Saccharomyces cerevisiae S288C: one gene and its partners. Changing the gene in region 1 together with any one later gene gives a genetic interaction. Each region holds a gene or a part of one and is shown in the gene's direction. Other genes may lie near its edges.

Region 1 (5,395 bases):
GTAGCCTCGATTTCTTCCACCACGGCATTCTCAGTCGCTTCAGTATGAGTTTCGATTGGCTCGTTATTATATTCTTCTTCAAAACTTGTATCATCAACCTCATCTATTTCCATTCGGTCATCTTCTTCCTCATCAGCTTTAGCAGCACTAAAATCCAATGTATTTCGCAGAGGTGATGGGCTCGAGGGAAAATGGGGCATAAATCGGTTGATAAGCTGTGGTGACAAAGTTGGCCCCTGCTTAGATATACTTAGGTCGGAGAGGCCTCCTAACTCCTCGTCAACGTGTTCCATTCCGCTAGTGAAACTGTCTCTTATGCTCAAATTTTCAAAACTTTCCATATGGAAGATCCTATATAACGTTATAATACAACTACTCAATAAGCAAGTATTGCGATAAACAAGCGACTATTTGATGAGATGCTATACCTTTGATGAAATTAAGGGCCCAACTTGCTTTTGTATCTTCTATTGTCTTAGGGAATTTTGCTCTATTTCATCTAAAGTTTTTTTTTCTTTACTTTTTGTTTTCGCCAATACAGGCGTCGCAAAGTGCAGCAAGAATATTTAGCGAGTTATTTGCTTCCACTTAGATCGGTGAACAAGTTGAAATATTCATTGAATGTCATATCCTCTGTACCAAGAGTTTCCTTGTCAGTGATGTCCAAGGGAATAATTTTGCTTTTCAAGAAACGGTCCTGACTGCCACCGGTTTTAGTTTCAACATATAATGGCTGCGGAAACCTTTGCAAGTCATTTAAAAGCTTGCAACAGAGCTCGCGACCTTCTTTTTCCAAAAGTTTTCCCCTTCTTAAAACTAAGTACGAGCCACCATCTACACAAATGGTGGTTTTATCATCTTGAAGTATCTGGGCTCTTGTTAATGGGACATCCAACACGATCCAGTCGTGTTTCAAATCACTGTAACTCCAGATGAAGGGTTTGCATAATGAAAGGCATGTGTCTTTAGAAGCGTTTATTATTCGGTGAAGAAAAAGGTACCTTTCATCAGGTGAAGTATTCCGAACCGATAGAATTGGAGACCTATATATATGATAACACCACTGTATCAGATTGACCATATCTACGTCTTTTCCCCGGATTTGATTTGGTAATAGAAACAATTGCTTCATCAATTCTTTAGTGTGCTTGGATGAGTAAGCAAAGCTATCGATAATTCGTGAGGCTATCTTTTTCATTGAAAACACAATTTCATTTTGTGCCCCAAATGATCTATTGGCTTTTGGCAATAAGAGGGTTTCAATTCTTATGTATTTTTCCGTTTGATTTTCAAAAGTGGTTTGAAACTGTATAGGAGCTTCAGCTGAATTGTGACCTAGTGAGATTTCTAATGGTAGAGAAAGGTTTTTAGGGTTTAAGCTATATTTTGGGAAGTCCTTAACGACAATAGCGTTCTTTGCGGTCATTATCTTTGAATGACAATTGTAAATGGCATTATGGTCACGCAAGTTCAGGTACTTTTGAAAAGACATTGCGAATCTCTCATCATTGAATGAATCAAACTGAGAAACTGCCATTGACGAAGTTATTAATGGACTCATTTCGAGTATACCGATTTGATCCAATGAAGCTATAAAGAATTCATAGATTAACGATTGGTTTGCAAATTTTTCAAGCATTTTCTTGTAAAATTTTGTCGGACTTTTTGATAGTTGCAATTGTGAACTTTTGGATTCAAAATGGTGGTTTTGTCTCATGCTTTCACCACGTTCTCTTGACATAACTTTGCCGCCACCCTTAGTACATGGACCATTCAGGAATGAAACTATATGACAGTAGGCTGACAAACTGCACTGAGACGCCAGTACGGATGAAACGAACAGCGCTAATCCGGTGCAACGCTTGTCCCTTTTAGAACTGATATTCACTTTGTTTGCAATCTTGCATATTTCCCGTAGCAATTTTCTTAAAGAACCCTGAGTAGATTTATCAAACCAGTATGATTCTTGATTGATTTCTGAAATTTTTTTCTCGAAGTAACTGGCATTTAATTTATCAAGATTATATTTGGTCATAAATTCATTTATTGAAAATACAGCATCACGTCTGTGATTCACAGCATTGTGTAAAATCACATGACCTGATTGCTGAATAGTAATTATTGATAGTGGCTCTTGTTGTCTTGTGATGTAATTATTACATAGAATGGAAACTAAATAATTTAGCTCATGAGGATCGCAAATAGCGTCTATAATCATAATGGTCCGTCTTGAAAGTATTTCTTTCTTTGCAGAAGTCAATGTATAGGTGTTGGAAGGTACCAGTGGCAATTCAGCATTTGAGTTTGATTGGTTGCAGAATAGACAAGTCCAAACATTCTGTTCTCGTAGGGAACAAGCCATCGAATAATAGGCGCCACATTTGGTGCATTTTAGATTTTGGTCATAGTTCTGCGTCACAGCATCGCTGGAAAAGGGCTCATATAAGAAATTAGTTGGAGAACACATAGGCACTTCCTTGGCCAAATTTGGTGCTAGATTGCAGTATTGTACAAATACAGGATTCAGTACCTGATCACTATTTTTACTCTTGATATTTTTTTTCCTTAAAAAAAATCAGAAGACAATAATGATAGAAAAAAACTAGGAATTCTTGAATTCATATGCATGGAAGAAAAAGGAATACAGGGAACAGACTTTTCAAAGCGAACAAACAGACCTTAACCGATGGCCGATTTCTTATTGAGACCAATTAAGCAACGTCATAGAAACGAGGACAAGTACGTGTCGGTGGACGCTGCAGACGGATCGGTGTCTAAAATTGAGCCCATCGCAGATTTTGTAATTAAGACAAAACTATTATCCGCTAATGGGCCGGAAAAACTGCAAGATGGCAGGAAGGTGTTCATCAATGTTTGTCACTCTCCGTTAGTGCCCAAACCTGAGGTCGATTTTAATGCAAGGATAGTGTTCCCGCTCATCATCCAAAACGAATGGGAGATTCCTATTATTACATCCTGCTACCGCATGGACCATGACAAGAAGGGGCAGGAGTGCTATGTGTGGGATTGCTGCATAAATAGCGATTGCTCGCGCTGGATATGCGATGATATCCAACTGCGAGAGATACTGGTCGAATGGTGCTTGGAGTCATGTGAGATCCGAGATTCGGTGGTATTGTGCAGAGATCGCATTGCATTCCCCAAGATGAAGAAGAAGGGCGCTGAGCTTCCTGCACTAGAGGTATTGAATGATGAGTTACATCAAGATTACAAGGCAAAAATGCATAAAATCATAGAAGAGGAGGCCGGAGACCCGATGAGTATATTGAGAGGAAGGAATGACGATGGCGATGATAATAATGATCCCGACGATGGAACACTACCACCATTGTTCCCTATCGAGAACAAAATCTCCGGAGCCAAGATAGAGGAGATTGATAAGAACGAGATTGCTCACAGAAACCTGAAACAGGCACCTGCACCTGCACCTGCACCGCACGAGCAGCAGGAGGACGTGCCGGAATACGAGGTAAAGATGAAGAGGTTCAAAGGGGCCGCCTACAAGCTGCGAATTCTTATTGAGAACAAAGCTCCGAACTCGAAGCCGGACCGGTTCTCTCCGAGCTACAACTTCGCAGAGAATATTTTATACATTAACGGTAAGCTGAGCATACCTTTGCCGCGCGACATAGTCGTGAATGCAGCAGATATCAAGATTTTCCATATCCGCAAAGAACGCACACTATATATATATATATAAACTAACATTTCGAGTATTCTTTTGGTTTTTGTTGTGACTAATACGAACGAATATATAAAAGCGGGAAAAAGGAGAGAGATATGATGTGCATCTATAACAGAATTTTTTTTTTTTTTTTTAATCCGGTAAAAAAAAGGGAATATTCTCAAAATTGCGGAGGGAAAGCGATGTTTTCTCTATGTGCTACGTATTCACTCACACTGTAGCCCAAAACATCGTGAATCTTCTCACTGGGTAAGCCCTTGATCTTCGCAAGCTCCAGACTCGTATAATTGGAGCGGACGCATCCAACAGACTGAATCGGCTTCGAGATATCCAATTCGCCATTGGGTAACCGCTGGCCTATTTTGAGATCAACGCATTCAAGTTCGTGGAAGTTGTCTCGGACTTCGATCACGGCGTTTGGAGTCAGACTAGCCATATCCTTTGACAAAAGTTTATCATAGCTGTTCTCGTCGATGATAATGGCGCCCTTGGTAATGAGCCCGTGCAGAATCCAAAATTCCCTGTTCTTAAGCTTGTGTTTGTTGTCATTAGCTAAGAACTTGGTGTGCATGGGAACATCGTAGCGACGCAACTGTTCGAGCTCCGTATCCTGAAGATCGAGAAACTGCTGCTGTGTGCCGTTTCCGATATGGCGCGGAGGGCGGAAGTGATGCTGAATGTAGTCAACGATCTTCGGGACGTACTCTGGACGGTCGCTCTTCATCACAATAGTCTCGATACCGGCATTAGAGGCGAGGTCGGCGGCTATGAGTTTGGTGCGCATTCCGCCCGTGCCAACCTCGGAGCCTGAACCACTGGAAGTGTTGACGCCCGGAAGGCCCTCTGATAGCTCTGGCACGAGAACAATAGGACGAGCATCCGGATTAGTGCGCGGATTGTCTGTATATAGGCAGTCCACATCTGTGAGCAAGAACAGGAAATCCGCCCCTACAAGAGCAGCGGTAATGGCAGAAAGCGTGTCGTTATCGCCGAACTCGATCTCGCTAATGGATAGCGTATCGTTTTCGTTGACTATAGGGATGACACCCATGGCCAGCAGTTCGTTGATTGTATTGCGTGCGTTATTGTACTGGTTCCAACGCAGTATATCGTTACGCGTGAGCAGGATCTGCGCTGTTTGCTCGCCATACTGGGAAAACAGCATGTTCCAGCGCGCGATGAGACGGCCTTGTCCGACAGCGGCAATCGCTTGCACTTCAGACAACTGCTTAGGCTTGTGCGGAATGTTGAGAGCGTCCAAACCAACGGCAATGCCGCCGCTGGATACGATGATCACTTTGTGGCCCATGCGCTTAAGATTCGTCACGGTCTCGACGATTAACGTCATGATGGACAACTTTGGCTCTTTTGTGCTCTCGTCGACGAGCGACGAACTGCCCAGCTTGATAACGATAGTATAAGCTTTTGTCATTACACCCTTCGATATGCCTTTTCTCTTCCTTTTGACGAACAAAATCAAAAACAAAAAAAGTGGTAATGAATAATCATATGCACGATGCACACTCTATATATATATAAATGAATGTATGCACGAATGTGTATGTGTATGCATACATAAAAGCACATGAAGGGCAGCAAACTTTTTCAAATGCAAAAATGCATGCCCGTTTGGTGCCGTACGGGCACGTGTATTATTTTGCCGGTGGCATGCCACATGGCGAAACCCTT
Region 2 (5,546 bases), on another chromosome or scaffold:
TCTACTATGTAGGGGCCAAGTGCTTGATAACGATATGACTTTAAATACCGTTAGAACACTTTACTGGAAATCTCAGGGTGACATAGTTCTAGAATACAGAAGAAAAGTACATAATTCACCGCTAGTTCATGAGGTCAACGGGAATGAGGGGAAATGATAATGTTTATTTAAATTATATTTTGGGGTCTGAATTTGGAGTTTTTAAGCGTAAATATATAGTAACAATACCAACAATAATACTAATAATACTATAATAGTAGTTGCAGTAACAATGACAAGATAAAGAATATTCTTCTGAAATGTCTAAAGAACGAAGAAAAAAGCAAGTACTCATTGGAATGCTATGTGTAACAACTCATACATACTCTAGAGCTTTATAATAATTACATAGACATTTTTATAATATTATTTATTTATCAAATTTTATATTGAATAGGTACCATCAAGTTATGCACACATTCTTCATTAAAATACAGTCTGTAAATAATTGTGAATATGGGCGACCTGAATGATGTTCTTATTATCTCAAATATTTCTAATTTTTTTTAATCATTTTTGTTTCTTTAAGAGCAATTAATTTACAGAGCGGGGAACAGTGGCCAATTTTTTGAGCTAAAGAACAGCATAACAACAAAACAACAGAAAAAAAACACAGCGAGTCTAGTGCAAGTACGTCGGCAAAGTAAAACACAAAGGAGATGAAATTGCACGGCTTTTTATTTTCCGTATTATCAACATGCGTCGTCATTTTACCAGCGTTGGCCTACAGTGAAGCTGTCACGATGGTCAAGTCGATTGAGCAGTACTTCGATATCTGCAATAGGAATGATTCTTACACAATGATAAAATACTACACTTCTTGGTGCCAACATTGTAAAACTCTGGCCCCAGTATACGAAGAGCTTGGTGAGCTATACGCCAAAAAAGCTAATAAAGATGATACCCCAATTAACTTCCTTGAAGTTAACTGTGAATTCTTCGGGCCAACTTTATGTACCGACTTGCCTGGATTTCCAATAATTGAACTGGTCAAACCTCGTACTAAGCCCTTAGTTCTTCCGAAGCTCGATTGGTCGTCTATGAAATTTCATGAAAGACTATGGCAAAGAATCAAGACGTGGTTCAACAATCCTAAGTACCAACTGGATACGTCTAGGGTTGTTCGTTTTGAAGGGAGTAGGAACCTAAAGAGTTTAAGCAACTTTATCGATACTGTAAGAAGTAAAGATACAGAAGAAAGATTCATAGAACATATTTTCGATGATTCTAGGAATTGCAATGAAGAATTACGTTCTCAACAGCTTCTGTGTAAAGCTGGTAAAGAATACTACTCTGATACTTTATCTAAATTATACGGTGACGTGAATGGGCTGGAAAAGGAAAGGCGAAGACTAGAAGCTTTAATTAAGCAAAATGGAGATGACTTGAGTAAAGAAGTTAAAGAAAAACTGAAAATCATTCGTCTACAATTGAGCCTATTATCACACATAGAAGACCAGTTAGAAGATACCAGTAGTCATGACGAGCTTTGAACATAAGCTTCGCTCTGTCTTTTACTTTACGAATACCGACTACAGACGGAAGCGGGACCCTCACCCTGAGGTACAACAAATACACAGATACATATATATTTAACAATGTACGTTAGCCGCAATATAAGTGAGATTGTGTAGGTGAAAGATTATGGAGATATACATAAATATTACAGAAGGTCTACCACATGTGTTTTGAATATTGGCTTGTGCTAAGGTAACACTGTTATTTTATTCATTAGAGAAACATCTCTTACCCTGTTTGGTTTTGGTATAATCTCCAATTACGTACATGAAAGATGGCTTTATATAAAAAGCCTTTAATTCGAAAAAAGAATAAATGTCTTAGGGAGCTTATTATCGTACTTTAATTCAACTTAGGAAATCAGCACTCTCCACTCCAAATCTTCGGTTTGAAATAATGGAAAATCAAGGTGGAGATTACAGCCCAAATGGGTTTTCAAACTCAGCAAGCAATATGAATGCGGTTTTTAACAATGAAATCACCGGTAGAAGTGACATTTCAAATGTAAACCATCAAACTGGTACCCCACGTCTGGTTCCTGAAACTCAAATATGGTCGATGCCTGTGCCAGATCAACTGATGACGATGCCTAACAGAGAAAACACCCTTATGACAGGTAGTACAATAGGTCCAAATATCCCCATGAATGTGGCTTATCCCAATACAATATACTCGCCAACAGAGCATCAGTCGCAATTTCAGACACAACAGAACCGTGACATCAGCACGATGATGGAACACACTAACAGTAATGATATGAGCGGCTCTGGTAAAAATCTCAAGAAACGTGTATCAAAGGCCTGTGACCATTGCCGAAAAAGAAAAATCAGATGTGATGAAGTGGACCAGCAGACCAAAAAATGTTCAAACTGTATTAAGTTTCAGTTGCCTTGCACTTTCAAACATCGTGATGAGATTCTTAAGAAGAAAAGAAAATTAGAAATCAAACATCATGCAACACCAGGGGAATCACTTCAAACCTCAAATAGTATTAGCAATCCTGTAGCGTCTTCTTCAGTACCGAACAGTGGAAGGTTTGAACTTTTAAACGGTAATTCCCCCTTAGAAAGCAATATCATCGATAAAGTCTCCAATATTCAAAATAATCTTAACAAAAAAATGAATTCAAAGATTGAAAAATTGGATAGAAAAATGTCTTACATTATTGACAGTGTGGCTAGACTTGAGTGGTTATTGGACAAGGCTGTTAAAAAGCAGGAAGGCAAATACAAGGAAAAGAACAATTTGCCCAAACCAGCGAGAAAAATATACTCTACGGCACTTTTAACTGCTCAAAAACTCTATTGGTTCAAACAAAGTTTAGGAGTGAAAGCGTCCAATGAGGAGTTTCTTTCTCCAATCAGCGAAATATTAAGCATATCTTTAAAATGGTATGCAACTCAAATGAAAAAATTTATGGATTTGTCATCTCCGGCTTTCTTCTCCAGCGAAATAATATTATACTCATTACCTCCGAAAAAGCAAGCAAAGAGACTTCTTGAGAATTTTCATGCTACCTTATTATCCTCTGTAACTGGTATAATATCGTTAAAAGAATGTCTAGACTTAGCAGAAAAGTACTACAGCGAAAGCGGCGAAAAACTCACATATCCTGAACATTTATTATTAAACGTGTGTCTCTGCTCGGGTGCATCTGCCACTCAATCAATTATAAGAGGTGATTCAAAGTTTCTAAGGAAAGATAGATATGATCCAACCTCCCAAGAGTTAAAAAAAATCGAAAACGTTGCCTTACTAAATGCCATGTATTATTATCATAAGCTGTCCACCATCTGTTCAGGTACAAGAACACTACAAGCTTTATTACTACTGAACCGATATTTTCAACTTACCTACGATACTGAACTAGCAAATTGTATTTTAGGAACCGCGATTAGATTGGCGGTTGACATGGAATTAAATAGAAAATCCTCTTACAAGTCACTAGACTTTGAAGAAGCCATAAGGAGAAGAAGAATGTGGTGGCATTGTTTTTGTACAGATAAACTATATTCTTTAATGTTATCCAGACCCCCTATTGTGGGGGAACGCGATATGGATATGCTAACAGATCAAAATTATTATGAAGTGATAAAAACTAATATTCTACCTGATCTTATTGATAAAAAGGAAGATCTCGATAAAATTACTGATGTCAACTCTGCATTGAATGTAGTTGTAAATTTTTGTCAGCACATATCCCTTTTCATATCATATTATGTTTCAAAATTGGTTAGTATTGAGAGTAAAATATACTCTACTTGTTTTGCTGTCAGAAGTACTCTAGATCTTTCATTCGATGCCATGCTTGATAAAATCAAAGATCTCAATGATTCTTTGAACAATTGGAGAGACAACTTGCACGTAAGTATGAAACTAAAAAGTTATAAACAGTATTTATCGGTACTTTACGCTCAAAAATCCCAAGAAAATCCGGCTTTAAGTTTTGAGATTGCATGCTCTCGTGTTTTGAATTGTCATTTTAGGGCGCTATATTCTAAAGTGATTTTGAGCATGATGACTACATCCTTATTGATTGATAACGAACGCCTATACAAAGGTTCTCGCCATGATATTCCTCAGCTATTCATTCTTTTTTCAAGTCAATACTTAAACGCCAGTAAAGAAATGTTACAGCTGTTTCAAGGCATCAATTACCAGGCGCATATGTATAACGAGGTTATGTATCAGTTCTCTACTGCTATGTTTGTTCTCTTCTTTTACGTTGTGGATAATATGAACGATCTAAAAAAGAAAGGTGAGGTAAAAGAGATCATCGATATCCTAAAAAAATCTTATGATCGATTAGTGGGAGAAAATGATGAGCAGTTACTGTTTGACAATGTCAAATGGAACACTTTGATTGTGTTCTACAGCCACTTTTTGAAATACGTTTTGCAACGTTATCATGCTTTGAACGATTCTACGTCAATATTTGATTCTAAACCTTATGATGAAACGATAACGAAAGTTATTATGCATTCAAGAAAGATAAAAGATGAAACAGTCGATCAACTAATTATGAGTCTAAAATCATATGGTTCTCTCCATTCTTTACAAAAGGGCAACGAAGCCGATCTCGCCGATGATGGACTGAATACGAATGATATTTCTTCAGAAGACTTTGCGGAGGAAGCACCAATAAACTTATTTGGAGAGTTATCAGTCGAAATTTTAAAACTATTAAAATCTCACTCCCCCATCTCAAATTTTGGAGACCTATCGCCATCTTCAAATAGGAAAGGAATATCTGATGACTCATCTTTGTACCCAATTCGTTCGGACCTAACATCTCTTGTTTATCCCATCCATAGTTCTGATACCGGAGATACTCTTTCCAGTGGTCTAGAGACCCCTGAAAATTCTAATTTTAATAGTGACAGTGGAATAAAGGAAGATTTCGAAGCTTTTAGAGCCTTATTGCCTTTAGGAAAATTGATCTATGACAGAGATTATTCTTTCGTGAACACTTTTAGGGATTATGAATAAACTGTACCTTGTCTACAAAGATTGTAAAAAATAAAAATTCTTTCCCAATGCATATTATATGTACTATTTGTATCTATATATTATCTATCGATTCTCACTTAAGATGTCGTTGTAATATTAATTATAACAACAAGGCTTTTATATATTTCAGGTAATTATCGTTTTCCTTTTCTGGTTCATTTGCTATAGCACGCAATAGCTCTTGTATTTTATGCTGGGAAGCTTCTTCAGTAATTTTGCTTGGGTCATGTAAACCCTCCTCCTTCACTTTTCTAATCCACTCTTTCAGTAAAGCCTTCAAACGAATATTACCTTCGTTAACTTCCTGTAATGATAGCTTAGCTTTTTTCAAATCTTCATTATTAGTTTTTAGATCGTCCAATTCATTGGCTTTACGTTTAGCCATTTTAACAATTTTTTCTGGAAATTGAACAACTTCTGCAACATGAATACCAAAAGACTGATCTGAAATACCAGGCTCAACTTTGTATAACAACGTG
Region 3 (6,061 bases), on another chromosome or scaffold:
TAAGCGTGATGCCAAGGCTGCTGGTTCCTACTACGTCGAAGCTCAACACAAGTTGGTCTTCGTTGTCAGAATCAAGGGTATTAACAAGATCCCACCTAAGCCAAGAAAGGTTCTACAATTGCTAAGATTGACAAGAATCAACTCTGGTACATTCGTCAAAGTTACCAAGGCTACTTTGGAACTATTGAAGTTGATTGAACCATACGTTGCTTACGGTTACCCATCGTACTCTACTATTAGACAATTGGTCTACAAGAGAGGTTTCGGTAAGATCAACAAGCAAAGAGTTCCATTGTCCGACAATGCTATCATCGAAGCCAACTTGGGTAAGTATGGTATCTTGTCCATTGACGATTTGATTCACGAAATCATCACTGTTGGTCCACACTTCAAGCAAGCTAACAACTTTTTGTGGCCATTCAAGTTGTCCAACCCATCTGGTGGTTGGGGTGTCCCAAGAAAGTTCAAGCACTTTATCCAAGGTGGTTCTTTCGGTAACCGTGAAGAATTCATCAACAAATTGGTTAAGTCCATGAACTAAACTGGTTGAAGTCACATTACATATAACTACTTATTTTATCTAAGTCCTATATAGTTCTGTTATTCACTAGTTTGTATATTGTACCTCTAATTTATCTTATAATTTCGTCAGTAATGACTTATAATTGGCTTTATTTTCTTCTCTTTTTTTTCACATGCGCAGAACCTATATAACGAAAAAAAAAAAAATGAAAACTGAAGATAAGCGGCCTTGACTTCTCTAAACTGCCGATATTTCAACGAAAGTTAGCCAACTTATTTATAAAAGCCTTGAATACCAACAATTGGAAAGAAGGTGTCTGTGCTTATCATATATAGCTTGCATAAAGAAAAATTATAATATCTTCGAACTTCCATAGAAAGAATATCTTTCAGTGTTAACTGGCTCATTTACTCAGAAATTAGTATTTTGAAGAACGATGAGTATTCGGAATGATAATGCTTCCGGTGGCTATATGCAGCCGGATCAATCTTCGAACGCTTCTATGCACAAAAGAGACTTAAGAGTTGAGGAGGAAATAAAGCCATTGGATGATATGGATAGCAAGGGTGCTGTAGCAGCAGATGGTGAAGTTCATCTAAGAAAGTCATTTTCGTTGTGGTCAATTCTTGGTGTTGGATTCGGTTTGACTAATTCCTGGTTCGGTATTTCTACATCGATGGTTGCAGGTATATCTTCTGGTGGACCCATGATGATTGTTTACGGTATAATTATTGTTGCCCTGATTTCTATTTGCATTGGTACCTCGTTGGGTGAATTATCTTCCGCATATCCGCACGCCGGTGGTCAGTTTTGGTGGTCTTTGAAGCTTGCCCCTCCTAAGTACAAAAGATTTGCGGCCTACATGTGCGGTTCATTTGCTTACGCAGGATCCGTGTTCACAAGTGCTTCAACTACGTTATCCGTTGCTACCGAAGTGGTTGGTATGTACGCTCTGACGCACCCTGAATTCATCCCAAAGAGATGGCATATATTCGTTTGCTTTGAATTGTTGCATTTGTTCTTGATGTTTTTCAACTGTTACGGTAAATCCTTACCTATCATTTCATCTTCCTCTCTATACATTTCCCTACTATCCTTTTTCACAATTACAATTACTGTATTGGCATGTTCTCATGGAAAGTTCAACGATGCAAAGTTTGTTTTTGCCACATTTAATAATGAAACAGGTTGGAAGAACGGCGGTATCGCCTTTATTGTCGGTTTGATTAACCCAGCTTGGTCATTTTCGTGCCTTGACTGTGCAACCCATATGGCGTTTGAAGTTGAAAAACCAGAAAGAGTTATTCCCATTGCTATCATGGGAACAGTCGCCATTGGGTTTGTCACTTCCTTTTGTTATGTTATCGCTATGTTCTTCTCTATACAAGATCTGGACGCTGTCTTGTCTTCTACAACAGGCGCCCCAATCTTGGACATTTATAATCAGGCATTGGGTAATAAATCAGGTGCGATTTTCCTGGGTTGCTTGATTCTATTTACCTCTTTTGGTTGCGTCATTGCTTGTCACACTTGGCAGGCAAGGTTATGTTGGTCATTTGCCAGGGACAATGGTCTTCCATTATCCCGTTTATGGTCGCAAGTTAACCCACACACTGGTGTACCTTTGAACGCTCATTTAATGTCATGCGCTTGGATAACCCTCATTGGCCTACTTTATTTGGCTTCCAGTACGGCTTTTCAGTCCTTAATTACAGGTTGTATTGCATTTTTATTGTTATCCTACATCATTCCGGTTATATGTTTACTTGCTAAAAAGCGTAACATAGCTCATGGTCCATTCTGGCTTGGAAAATTTGGATTTTTTTCAAACATTGTTCTTTTGGGTTGGACTGTCTTTTCTGTGGTCTTTTTTTCCTTTCCACCAGTTTTACCTGTGACAAAGGATAACATGAACTATGTTTGTGTAGTTATTGTTGGTTATACTGCGTATTCGATTCTTTACTGGAAATACAAGGGTAAGAAGGAATTCCACGCTTTAGAAGAATCTGAGAACGAACAGGCTGAATATAGTAATAACTTCGATACCATTGAAGATAGTCGAGAATTTTCCGTTGCGGCCTCTGACGTTGAACTCGAAAATGAACACGTACCGTGGGGAAAGAAGTGAATTTATAGTGTTGATCAGTCGACCGTTATTTATTTTAAGTATATTATTTGCATAGAAGTAATAAAAGTGAATTTTTTTTAATGGTTTGTTAAGCCATTTTAGACGAGGGACTAAGATATTTCAACCTAAATATCCCTCAGGCTTTGCGCTCTTGAAAGCGATGTGACTGTAATTCAAATTTCTTGAAATATTTTTGCGGGAAAAAGATGAAAAATTTTTCACCTCATCGCATAAGAAGCAAATAAAAAAAAAATATTAATAATAGATAGGCAACAATATAGCAGCTCAGAGATATAGCTTAACTTCATTTTACAGCCTTTTAACGAAAGCATAAGTATTAACAGTTTGATATATAGGGGATTAAAATGACAAAGGAAGAAATCGCAGACAAGAAGAGAAAGGTTGTAGATGAGGAGGTAATTGAAAAAAAGAAGAGTAAGAAACACAAAAAGGATAAGAAAGACAAGAAGGAAAAGAAGGATAAAAAGCATAAAAAGCATAAGAAGGAGAAGAAGGGTGAGAAGGAAGTGGAAGTACCAGAGAAAGAATCTGAAAAGAAACCTGAACCTACTTCTGCAGTGGCTAGTGAGTTTTATGTTCAGAGTGAAGCACTAACCAGTCTTCCACAATCTGATATTGACGAATATTTCAAGGAAAATGAAATTGCTGTTGAGGATTCTCTGGATCTAGCCCTACGTCCGCTATTATCATTTGATTATCTTTCTTTAGACTCTTCCATTCAAGCAGAAATTTCCAAATTTCCAAAACCAACGCCTATTCAAGCCGTAGCCTGGCCATATTTGTTATCTGGTAAAGATGTTGTTGGTGTTGCTGAGACCGGTTCTGGTAAAACATTTGCTTTCGGTGTTCCAGCTATCAGCCATTTAATGAACGATCAAAAGAAAAGGGGCATACAGGTTCTAGTCATTTCCCCAACTAGAGAACTTGCTTCCCAAATTTATGATAATCTGATTGTATTAACTGACAAGGTTGGTATGCAGTGTTGTTGTGTTTATGGTGGTGTTCCAAAGGATGAGCAAAGAATTCAGTTAAAAAAGTCACAAGTGGTGGTTGCTACACCTGGTAGATTATTAGACCTATTGCAGGAAGGATCTGTTGACTTATCTCAAGTTAATTACTTAGTATTAGACGAGGCAGACAGAATGTTGGAAAAAGGTTTTGAAGAAGACATCAAGAATATTATCAGAGAAACTGATGCGTCCAAAAGACAAACTCTAATGTTTACCGCTACCTGGCCAAAGGAAGTCCGTGAATTAGCTTCCACGTTCATGAACAACCCAATCAAAGTATCTATTGGTAACACGGACCAACTAACTGCTAACAAAAGAATTACACAGATTGTTGAAGTGGTGGACCCACGTGGAAAAGAAAGAAAGTTATTGGAACTGTTGAAAAAGTACCACTCTGGTCCAAAAAAGAATGAAAAGGTCTTGATTTTTGCTCTTTATAAGAAGGAAGCTGCTCGTGTTGAAAGGAATTTGAAATATAACGGGTATAACGTCGCAGCTATCCATGGTGATTTGTCCCAGCAACAAAGAACGCAAGCATTGAATGAGTTCAAAAGCGGGAAGTCTAACTTGTTACTGGCCACCGACGTTGCAGCAAGAGGTTTAGATATACCAAATGTTAAGACAGTTATTAATTTAACTTTCCCATTGACTGTGGAGGATTATGTCCATAGAATCGGTAGAACTGGTAGAGCTGGTCAAACAGGCACAGCACACACTCTGTTCACTGAACAAGAAAAGCATTTGGCTGGTGGACTGGTTAACGTTTTGAATGGTGCCAATCAACCTGTTCCTGAAGATTTGATAAAGTTCGGTACTCACACTAAGAAGAAGGAACATAGCGCTTATGGTTCATTCTTTAAGGACGTCGATTTGACTAAGAAACCAAAAAAAATTACTTTCGATTAGGGGTTTTTTCGTTTACTTCAATCTTGGATTTTCTTCTCTAATAATAGCCAATCGAGAGTCGGAGATTTATTAACAAAACACTGTATATTACTATTATAACTGCCCACTTTCATTTATCATTAATATTATTTAAATTGACTCTCACATAGTATACATATTTTCTAGAAAAAAAATACGATTCAGTATATCAGCAGTCATGGTCTTCATTCAATCTGCGCTCAAGAATTTTTTCTCTTGCCTGATTAAACTCTATGGGGAAATCGACACGCAAAGCAGCGTTTAAATAGTCGATGTTCTTTCTTGAAGTTTCTAAATCACGTTTTATTTTTTTTGAAGTAGCCTCACCATTTTCAAACTTCTCTTGCAGTTGAGTGAGCCTGCTCTTCATTTCATCAATATATTGTTTAAGCTCTAGGCTTTTCGAATTTATAACAGCGGAGGTTTTGGTCTGTAGAGAAAGTGCCTCTGAGAAATCAGCAGAATCAATAGATTGTTTTAGAGAATCAAAAATATATCTAGAAACGTCAAATATTGGACCAGGATCCTGGGCATCCGTGGGTAGCAAATTGCTTGACTGAGGGATATCGTTATCTAGGAACAAATCTTCGTCAACGTTAGATTCATTGTCCATTTCATTTTGCTCCACAACATCTGAAACGTTACTTCCATCACTATCGAAGCTACCACTTGAGTTGCTAGTGGTGCTGATCGAATCATGGAAAGAGCTGGACATTTCCTCTGTTATAGGAATCGCGTAGGATTGAGAATTAATACTGGGTGTTGAAGAATGAACAGCCGAAAAAGTCTCTTCATCATCATTTTCCTCCGATATTCCGGTCACCATTGTTCTTCACTAAGTGTTGGTAACCATTATTTTGCCTCTCTTATTATTTTACTATAATATAGCTGCGACTTTTCAGTGAAAAACGTTCTTTTTTAACTTTTTGAATGGCTGAATATAATCAGTAATACAAAGGAGATGAGAGGGAAATTGTCTTGGATATAAAAGAAATATTTGAATAAAGACATAATAATTATTTAGGTTATTTAGAATATGTCATCTTATGTAGTTTGGTTCAATACTAACTACTAAATAAAATGAAACTCATAGAGATAATGGTTCTATAGCATGCATATATGAAAAGGAGAAGAGGTAAAAATGAGAGAATATGCATGAACATATCCATCCTCTTAATCCTTGCTTGTTCTTTTTTATGTTTCCATCTAGTCACCTACTTCAGGTTCTTAGACTGCTCGTTTTACTGTTTACCAGTTTTTTCTTTCTCTTTCCATTCCTTATCTAGAGCTTTCTTCTCCTCATCTGTTGTGAAATACGTGTATTTGAGAAACCTATAGCCTTGAGCTAATTGCGCAGTTTCATTAATAAGGTGGCATCCAAACAGTAAGTAGTTTTTGGGTGATACTGAAAGAGCATACTTCATGAAAACACCTGAATAGGTAACTAAAGCAAAA
Region 4 (6,732 bases), on another chromosome or scaffold:
TAGACTTTTTAGTAATGCTAGCCTGGATCCTTGTGACAATTTGTTCTTCTTTTTGAGCAACGATAATGCTAAATTTTGTGCTTTTCTACAATCAATTACTGCGGATATAACATTACCAGCTTTAATATTTAATTTCGCGCTTTCATTAAAAATTTTTATGTTCAAAAGTATGACTTTGATGTAAAGTGACATGGGTAGGTTGTGGTCGTTATTGATATCAAATAATTCAGGCTTCATAGCAGGCAGTGTTTTTCCAAAATATATTTGAAACGCTGTCAAGTCAGAGTCCCACAAGTGGACATTTATTAAAGAACTTGCATGTAATAACGCCTGCTCTATTTTCGCCGTTGATAAATTCATTGTTTTTTGTAGTTGATTCTTCATCATGAGGGCATCATCAATCATATATAAGCTCAGATAAGCCTCTAGCAAATAATTGTCGGCATAAGGCACAATACTGGAGTAATACTTTTCTTTTGATTTAATACAGAGTGAAAGTTCAATGGATAACTTATCAAAATTATTAAAGTTCAAGTAGCACAATAGCATTTTAACGAAGTCCATTTCAAATGACGATATTCTCTCGGCCTTTTCATCTGATTTTTGTAGCCATTTGTTTATGTACAGCTTAGTTATTTTCGATAGATTCGTTGTCAGGTGTTTACTCATGTCCAGGTTCAATAGGTACACTATTCGTATTAATAGCTCATATTTGTTGAGCAAGTGTAATTTATCAAACGTATTATTTAGCTCTAAAGGATCCAAATCAAAGATACCCCTCAGTGAGCAAAATATCATTCTGCTTAGTTGTGACCAATTTTCGGAAGGAATGTTTTCGATAGATGAATTTCCATACAGTACTGAAAGCATAATTTCTGAACTGTTTGAAAACTCGATGAATTTTGTGATTTTTAGGCGTGTAAAGCAATGAATGAATGCATTTTGGCAAAAGTCAAAAACAAATGATAGCGTATCATTTCGTAGCATGCAATATACATTGAACAAACAGGAAAAGATTTCAATTTTTTTCTGGGCACTCTGAGCACTAGATATAAATTTTTCAAATTTCAGTATAGTACGATGAGATGTTTTTGAATCATTACTGATTAAAACATTTGAGATTTCCAAATTAGCAGTCTTTAACAAAAACGAATGACTCTTAAATAAAACAGAAGCATTGAAAAGGACACTGATAATATTTGACAGTCGTTTAGGCTCTTTATAATCGATACAAATTTCTGATAAAACTCCCAGAAGTTCGGATAATAATGCCGCCGCAGATTCGTCATTAATGGATTTAATATTTGAGTTGATATAAATAACAGTACAATCAAACTGCCTCAATATATCCTTATTTTTAGGTAATCCCTCTAGGCGAATAGTAGACCAAAGACAGACTAAACATTTTAATGTTGCGGATATATGTTTCCCTTTATTTTGTAGAAAATTCGTTGCATTTTCGAGTATTACGTTCAAATCATCGACAGATATACAGGACCAGAGAAGACGGTTTTCACTCATGTTGCAGTATTCATTGAATTCTTTTTTACTTTTTATCGCTCTTTGTACCTCAGTAGTTTCTTCGTAACTTAAAATGTCTAGAAGCATTATTTTATCCAATCCATCGTACAGCATGGAATAGGATAAGTAAAATGAATTTAAATATATTTTATTAGGTCCCATCTCCAAATAATTTTTATGAAGAAGGTTTTTGCTAAAACACTCGACGGTAATGTTGCTAATGAACTTTTTAAAAGGTAATTTGAACTGTTTGATATATTGTAGAAATTTTAGCCCGAATAGAACTTTGCAACTCGTCGTGACAGAAAAAAAGCTCAGCACGATTTTTGTGAGAGCGTGAGCTTTGAGGTTAGGGTCTTTCAAAAGATATCTTTTATCATGGGAAAATAGTTCTAATATATGCGGTAAGTATTCGTCTACTAGCTTTCTTTTCAGTATAATCTGCAGCGCTAATATTTTCAGATTTGAAAGATAGTAGTCGTTCCACGTACTGAAGTCTGCTAGAAGAATGTTTTTCAGACTATGAGCTTGAAATAAATTCGTTTCATTGAAAAGAAAAATAATTTCAGAGGAGGCCAATCCTAATGCGTTATTATTTATTAGTTTAACAATTATCATCAAATGTTGTTTAACAGTGGAGTTTATATGGCCCCACATGTGATGGCTCTTCAATAGGCTATATATTGAATTTAATGAATGGTCAACAGTGGTAATATCCTCAATGGCTAAGTCTATGTTATTGCTTGCAATTTTTGTAAAGTCACGTATTATGTTATTATGCATTGCTAGTATGCCAATAGAATTGGATGAGGCGTCTCCAGACAACACCGAGGTCAGTGGTCTAGTTTGGCCACTATGATGTACTTTCGAAAGCGTGTCGTTTAAAAGGTAGGACTTGCTAGTCATCGGAGTATTCGGACTAATCTCATTCAGCGGTTCCTCCTGTTTTACCATCATTCCTTAATTTATAAGCACTTCGTGCCTAGGTTAAATTATTACTAGGTTAGCCTCAAAAATGTTGGGTTTAGGTCAACTTTTTACTATGCTCGCAGTTAGAAGGAAAAGAAAAATATGCTATAGCCAGATGCTCCTGTGAAACGTGTCCTAACTAAAATAATTCGGATGTTTCTGATGATAGAGTGTCTATATTCCTCCAAAAGGAATTTAACTAATTGTGGTAAGCTTCTCGCTTCAAATGCGCAATGTTACGTGGATGGGCTTTGTATCCATGTTCTTGTTTTTGTTTGTTTACCTCTTTTCTGTAAAGACCCGTGAAGTTTGAAAAGAAAGAAAATAAAAACAAACACCAAGAAATGCAGACAATAAGTACTTGTGGACAGGTTGCCGCTAATAGAACGTGAATCGAGCTACTTTATACGCATTTAATTCCTCATGAAATGGTTTTAGAAACGCTGAAACAAGGGCTTGACAGCAGTCAAATACATGAAGCTTTAATACAACTAGATTCCTATCCTCGCGAACCGGTGGATCTAGATGCCTCGATGGTTCTCATAAAATTCGTAATTCCAGTTTATCCATCACTACCAGAAAGATCGAAGGTGATATTGAGACGGCTAGCTTCTAAATCGTTTACATTTTTATGCCAAATTGTCACCTTCTCAAGGACAATAAGTGGCCGCGATGGACTGCAAGAGATACGCATATACCAAGAAATTTTAGAAGACATCATCAGTTTTGAACCGGGATGTTTGACTTTTTATTTAAAGGCAAGCACTACTAGCAAAGCAGACCGTGATAGCATTAAGGCCCTTTTCTTTGGGAGCAAGTTATTTAATGTGTTGGCCAACCGAATTGATATGGCGAAATATTTGGGATACCTTCGGCTTCAGTGGAAATTTCTACTTGAGAGTAATGAAACAGATCCACCTGGGTTTTTAGGGGAATGGTTAGTTTCATCATTTTTGCTTAACCCAGTGCTAGCGGCAGATATGTTATTAGGCGAATTATTTTTATTGAAAGAGTCGTATTTCTTTTCTTTTCAGAAAATCATATCTGCTAGTAGTCTGATAGATCAAAAGAGGCTGATTGCTAAGTTTTTATTACCATATATTCAAGTTATCGTGACTTTAGAAAATTTGAACGATGTTAGGAAAATTCTGCGGCGGTTTGATCTCGATAAAATCATAAGTCTGTCCGTATTATTTGAAATACAGTCGCTGCCATTGAAGGAAGTGATAGTACGTCTGATGAGCAACCACTCTTCCACGAAGTTTGTTAGCGCTTTGGTAAGTAAATTTGCTGATTTTACAGATGAGGAAGTAGACACAAAGACATGTGAATTGCTTGTACTCTTTGCAGTGCACAATCTCAATCATTCCCAGAGAGAGGAAATAGCACACGATGAGCGGTTTTTGAATGGCGTGACCAAACATTTAGGTAGCAATGAACGTGAGGCAAGGGAGCGTGCGATGTTTATTGCCAAGCTTTTATCAGGCGGTCATCTGAAGTACGAAAGTGATTTTAAAATCAATATACCGAATGTCAAATTCGAAAGCAATAGCGATGATAAAATCATTGATTTCCAATCTTTAAAAAATCCATCCATATGCAATACCCAAACTGATGTGGGTAAGGATAAGATTACTGAGGTCTCGGGTCATGTTCAAAGCCTTACATTGGACTGCAGTGATAGCGATGATGAAGATGAGAACGATGAGCGGGAGATTGTTAAACGAATTGTATTTTTAAAAGATTTAATGAAAGAATACGAAAAAACTGGGGAATCTCGAAAAGCTCCATTGATACCACTTCTGAAGCAAACAGTGAAATTGATACGGCAAAAGGCGGATTTTCAGTTAGAGGTTGGCTATTATGCACAAGGTATTCTGTCAAGCATTGTGTGCTTGAATAATGAATTTGATGAACCGCTTTTCGAGCAGTGGAGAATAAACGCTCTAACAAGCATACTGGTCGTCCTTCCAGAGAAGGTGAATGGCGCTATAAATATTCTATTCAATTCAGAACTGTCGTTACAGCAAAGGATGTCACTATTGTCGGCTCTGGGTCTTTCTGCAAGAGAGTTGAGAGGGCTTGATGATCCTACTATTGTCAAGCCCAAGTTTGATTTTCCAACAAATCGTTTACCGTGGGATGATCAAAGCCATCATAATAGTAGGCTTGTTGAAGTTCAAGAGTCAACAAGTATGATAAAGAAGACGAAAACAGTATGGAAATCTAGAAAACTAGGCAAGGATCGAGAAAAAGGAACGCAAAACCGCTTTAGAAAATATGCTGGTCTATTCTTCTATCCGCTAGCACACGGTTGGCTTAATGGAATTGACGTAGGCACATACAATCAGCTTTTTAAGTCGCATTATTTAACAACACTGCGTATCATATACTCTTGCGCTAACCCGGTCCACGATTTTGAATCCATGACGGAGTTGATGAATCATATAATTAGTTCAGCCATAGAGGAAGGAATTTCTCTCAATAAAGGTTAGTAGCATAGTTATTTGTACCAATCTTATGATACATATTTGAATAAATTTAGTGCGTTCTCTGTCAGCGTCGTTAGTATTTAATGCACAGCATATTATTTCAGAAGGTCGGCCGACTCCTGCAACTGGGAAAAAGAACTTCAATAAGAAAAGGCCTGAACAAATCTGCTTGGTAAGGGCCCAACAACATTTAAGAAATTGTACATTTTGAAAGCACTGATCCATCAATTAAAGCACCGAACAACCTCAGAGTTGATACAATTATTAGTTAAAGGATAGGATATGTCATTTTTTGATTCTTTACGTCAAAAGGCACCCTTTTTGGATAAACTGGCAGACAGTTTCACTCCAACATTAACCAGAGATGAGAAATTCAGATTAAAATATAAACTTCCAGCTAATGAAAACATTTTGGAAGATACGAATGCAGAAGTTTCATTTGCAACTTCCATTAAAGATGGAAAAGGGCATTCTGATAGAGTGAACAATAAAGGGAGAAAAACTGCTTATGTGTATTCCGGGAGATTGTTTTTAACACCTCATTTTCTGGTATTTCGAGATGCATTTGATCATTCATCGTGCGTACTAATACTGAATATTTCTACCATTAAACGTGTAGAGAGGTCGCCATCCGAATCATATGAATTTGCTCTTCTAGTAACTTTGTACACAGGAGCAAAGGTTCTGATTCAATTTATCGGTATACGTTATAGATCGGAGCAGTTTTGTGACAAATTGAAACTAAATTTGAAAGAAAATATTCCTAATGCCAAAACTTTACCTGCTTTTCTAGAAACCTCATATTCGGAGTTCTTAATTGCTAAAAATATTCTAGGTAAAAAGGACATAACTGTACCCAGGGCAGGTCTAGGACAACATTTCAAGTATCCCGGTAATCCTACTATGGTAAAAGAAAAGGCTAAATTGAGGCTATGGTTCGATTATTTCAGAGAGAATGGAAGGAATTTGGCAGTTGTGCAAACTCCTATGTTCCGAAAGTTAATCAGAATCGGTGTTCCAAATCGAATGAGAGGTGAAATTTGGGAACTATGTTCAGGTGCAATGTATATGCGTTATGCAAATTCTGGGGAGTACGAAAGGATATTAAACGAGAATGCTGGTAAAACATCGCAAGCTATCGACGAAATTGAGAAGGATTTGAAGAGATCGCTGCCCGAATACTCAGCATACCAGACTGAAGAAGGTATTCAAAGGTTGAGAAATGTTCTGACAGCTTATTCGTGGAAGAACCCTGATGTTGGATATTGCCAGGCCATGAATATAGTTGTTGCAGGATTTTTAATCTTTATGTCTGAAGAGCAGGCTTTTTGGTGCTTGTGTAATCTATGTGACATCTATGTTCCAGGTTATTACTCAAAGACGATGTACGGTACATTGTTAGACCAACGAGTGTTCGAGTCTTTTGTAGAGGACAGAATGCCGGTTCTTTGGGAATACATTTTACAGCATGATATTCAACTATCTGTGGTGTCTTTACCTTGGTTTTTGTCTTTGTTTTTCACTTCAATGCCTCTAGAATATGCTGTTAGAATAATGGATATTTTTTTTATGAACGGTTCTATTACTCTATTTCAGGTGGCATTAGCAGTTCTGAAGATAAATGCAGATGATATCTTACAAGCCGATGATGATGGAATGTTCATTGCCATAATTAAGCACTATTTCCAAACTCTGGGACAAAGTGCTCACCCAGATTCAAGCGATATAAAATATAGACAAATCACGAAAT

What was found.
Region 2: mutations in PIH1 (region 1) and HAL9 together harm fitness more than expected from each alone (negative genetic interaction), as found in Saccharomyces cerevisiae (2 studies listed by BioGRID).
Region 3: mutations in PIH1 (region 1) and DBP3 together harm fitness more than expected from each alone (negative genetic interaction), as found in Saccharomyces cerevisiae (2 studies listed by BioGRID).
Region 4: mutations in PIH1 (region 1) and TEL2 together harm fitness more than expected from each alone (negative genetic interaction), as found in Saccharomyces cerevisiae (2 studies listed by BioGRID).

Annotation. Positions count from the first base shown.
Region 1 is NC_001140.6:175,291-180,685, reverse strand, and holds PIH1 (Pih1p), read left to right. Parts: upstream 1-2,686; coding exon 2,687-3,721; downstream 3,722-5,395. Other genes in the region: BRL1 (Brl1p), read right to left, coding at 1-341; GTPase-activating protein NEL1, read right to left, coding at 575-2,467; YHR033W (putative glutamate 5-kinase), read right to left, coding at 3,867-5,138. UniProt on the Saccharomyces cerevisiae protein: Involved in pre-rRNA processing and required for the NOP58-snoRNA interaction.
Region 2 is NC_001147.6:149,898-155,443, reverse strand, and holds HAL9 (Hal9p), read left to right. Parts: upstream 1-1,953; coding exon 1,954-5,046; downstream 5,047-5,546. Other genes in the region: DUF1 (Duf1p), read left to right, coding at 1-157; protein disulfide isomerase MPD2, read left to right, coding at 699-1,532; mismatch repair ATPase MSH2, read right to left, coding at 5,168-5,546. UniProt on the Saccharomyces cerevisiae protein: Putative transcription factor involved in halotolerance.
Region 3 is NC_001139.9:358,815-364,875, reverse strand, and holds DBP3 (RNA-dependent ATPase DBP3), read left to right. Parts: upstream 1-3,016; coding exon 3,017-4,588; downstream 4,589-6,061. Other genes in the region: 60S ribosomal protein uL30 RPL7A, read left to right, coding at 1-541; HNM1 (Hnm1p), read left to right, coding at 960-2,651; KXD1 (Kxd1p), read right to left, coding at 4,776-5,432; pyruvate transporter MPC1, read right to left, coding at 5,848-6,061. UniProt on the Saccharomyces cerevisiae protein: ATP-dependent RNA helicase required for 60S ribosomal subunit synthesis. Involved in efficient pre-rRNA processing, predominantly at site A3, which is necessary for the normal formation of 25S and 5.8S rRNAs.
Region 4 is NC_001139.9:684,981-691,712, forward strand, and holds TEL2 (Tel2p), read left to right. Parts: upstream 1-2,918; coding exon 2,919-4,985; downstream 4,986-6,732. Other genes in the region: ESP1 (separase), read right to left, coding at 1-2,478; GTPase-activating protein MDR1, read left to right, coding at 5,265-6,732. UniProt on the Saccharomyces cerevisiae protein: Part of the TTT complex that is required to stabilize protein levels of the phosphatidylinositol 3-kinase-related protein kinase (PIKK) family proteins. Required for telomere length regulation and telomere position effect.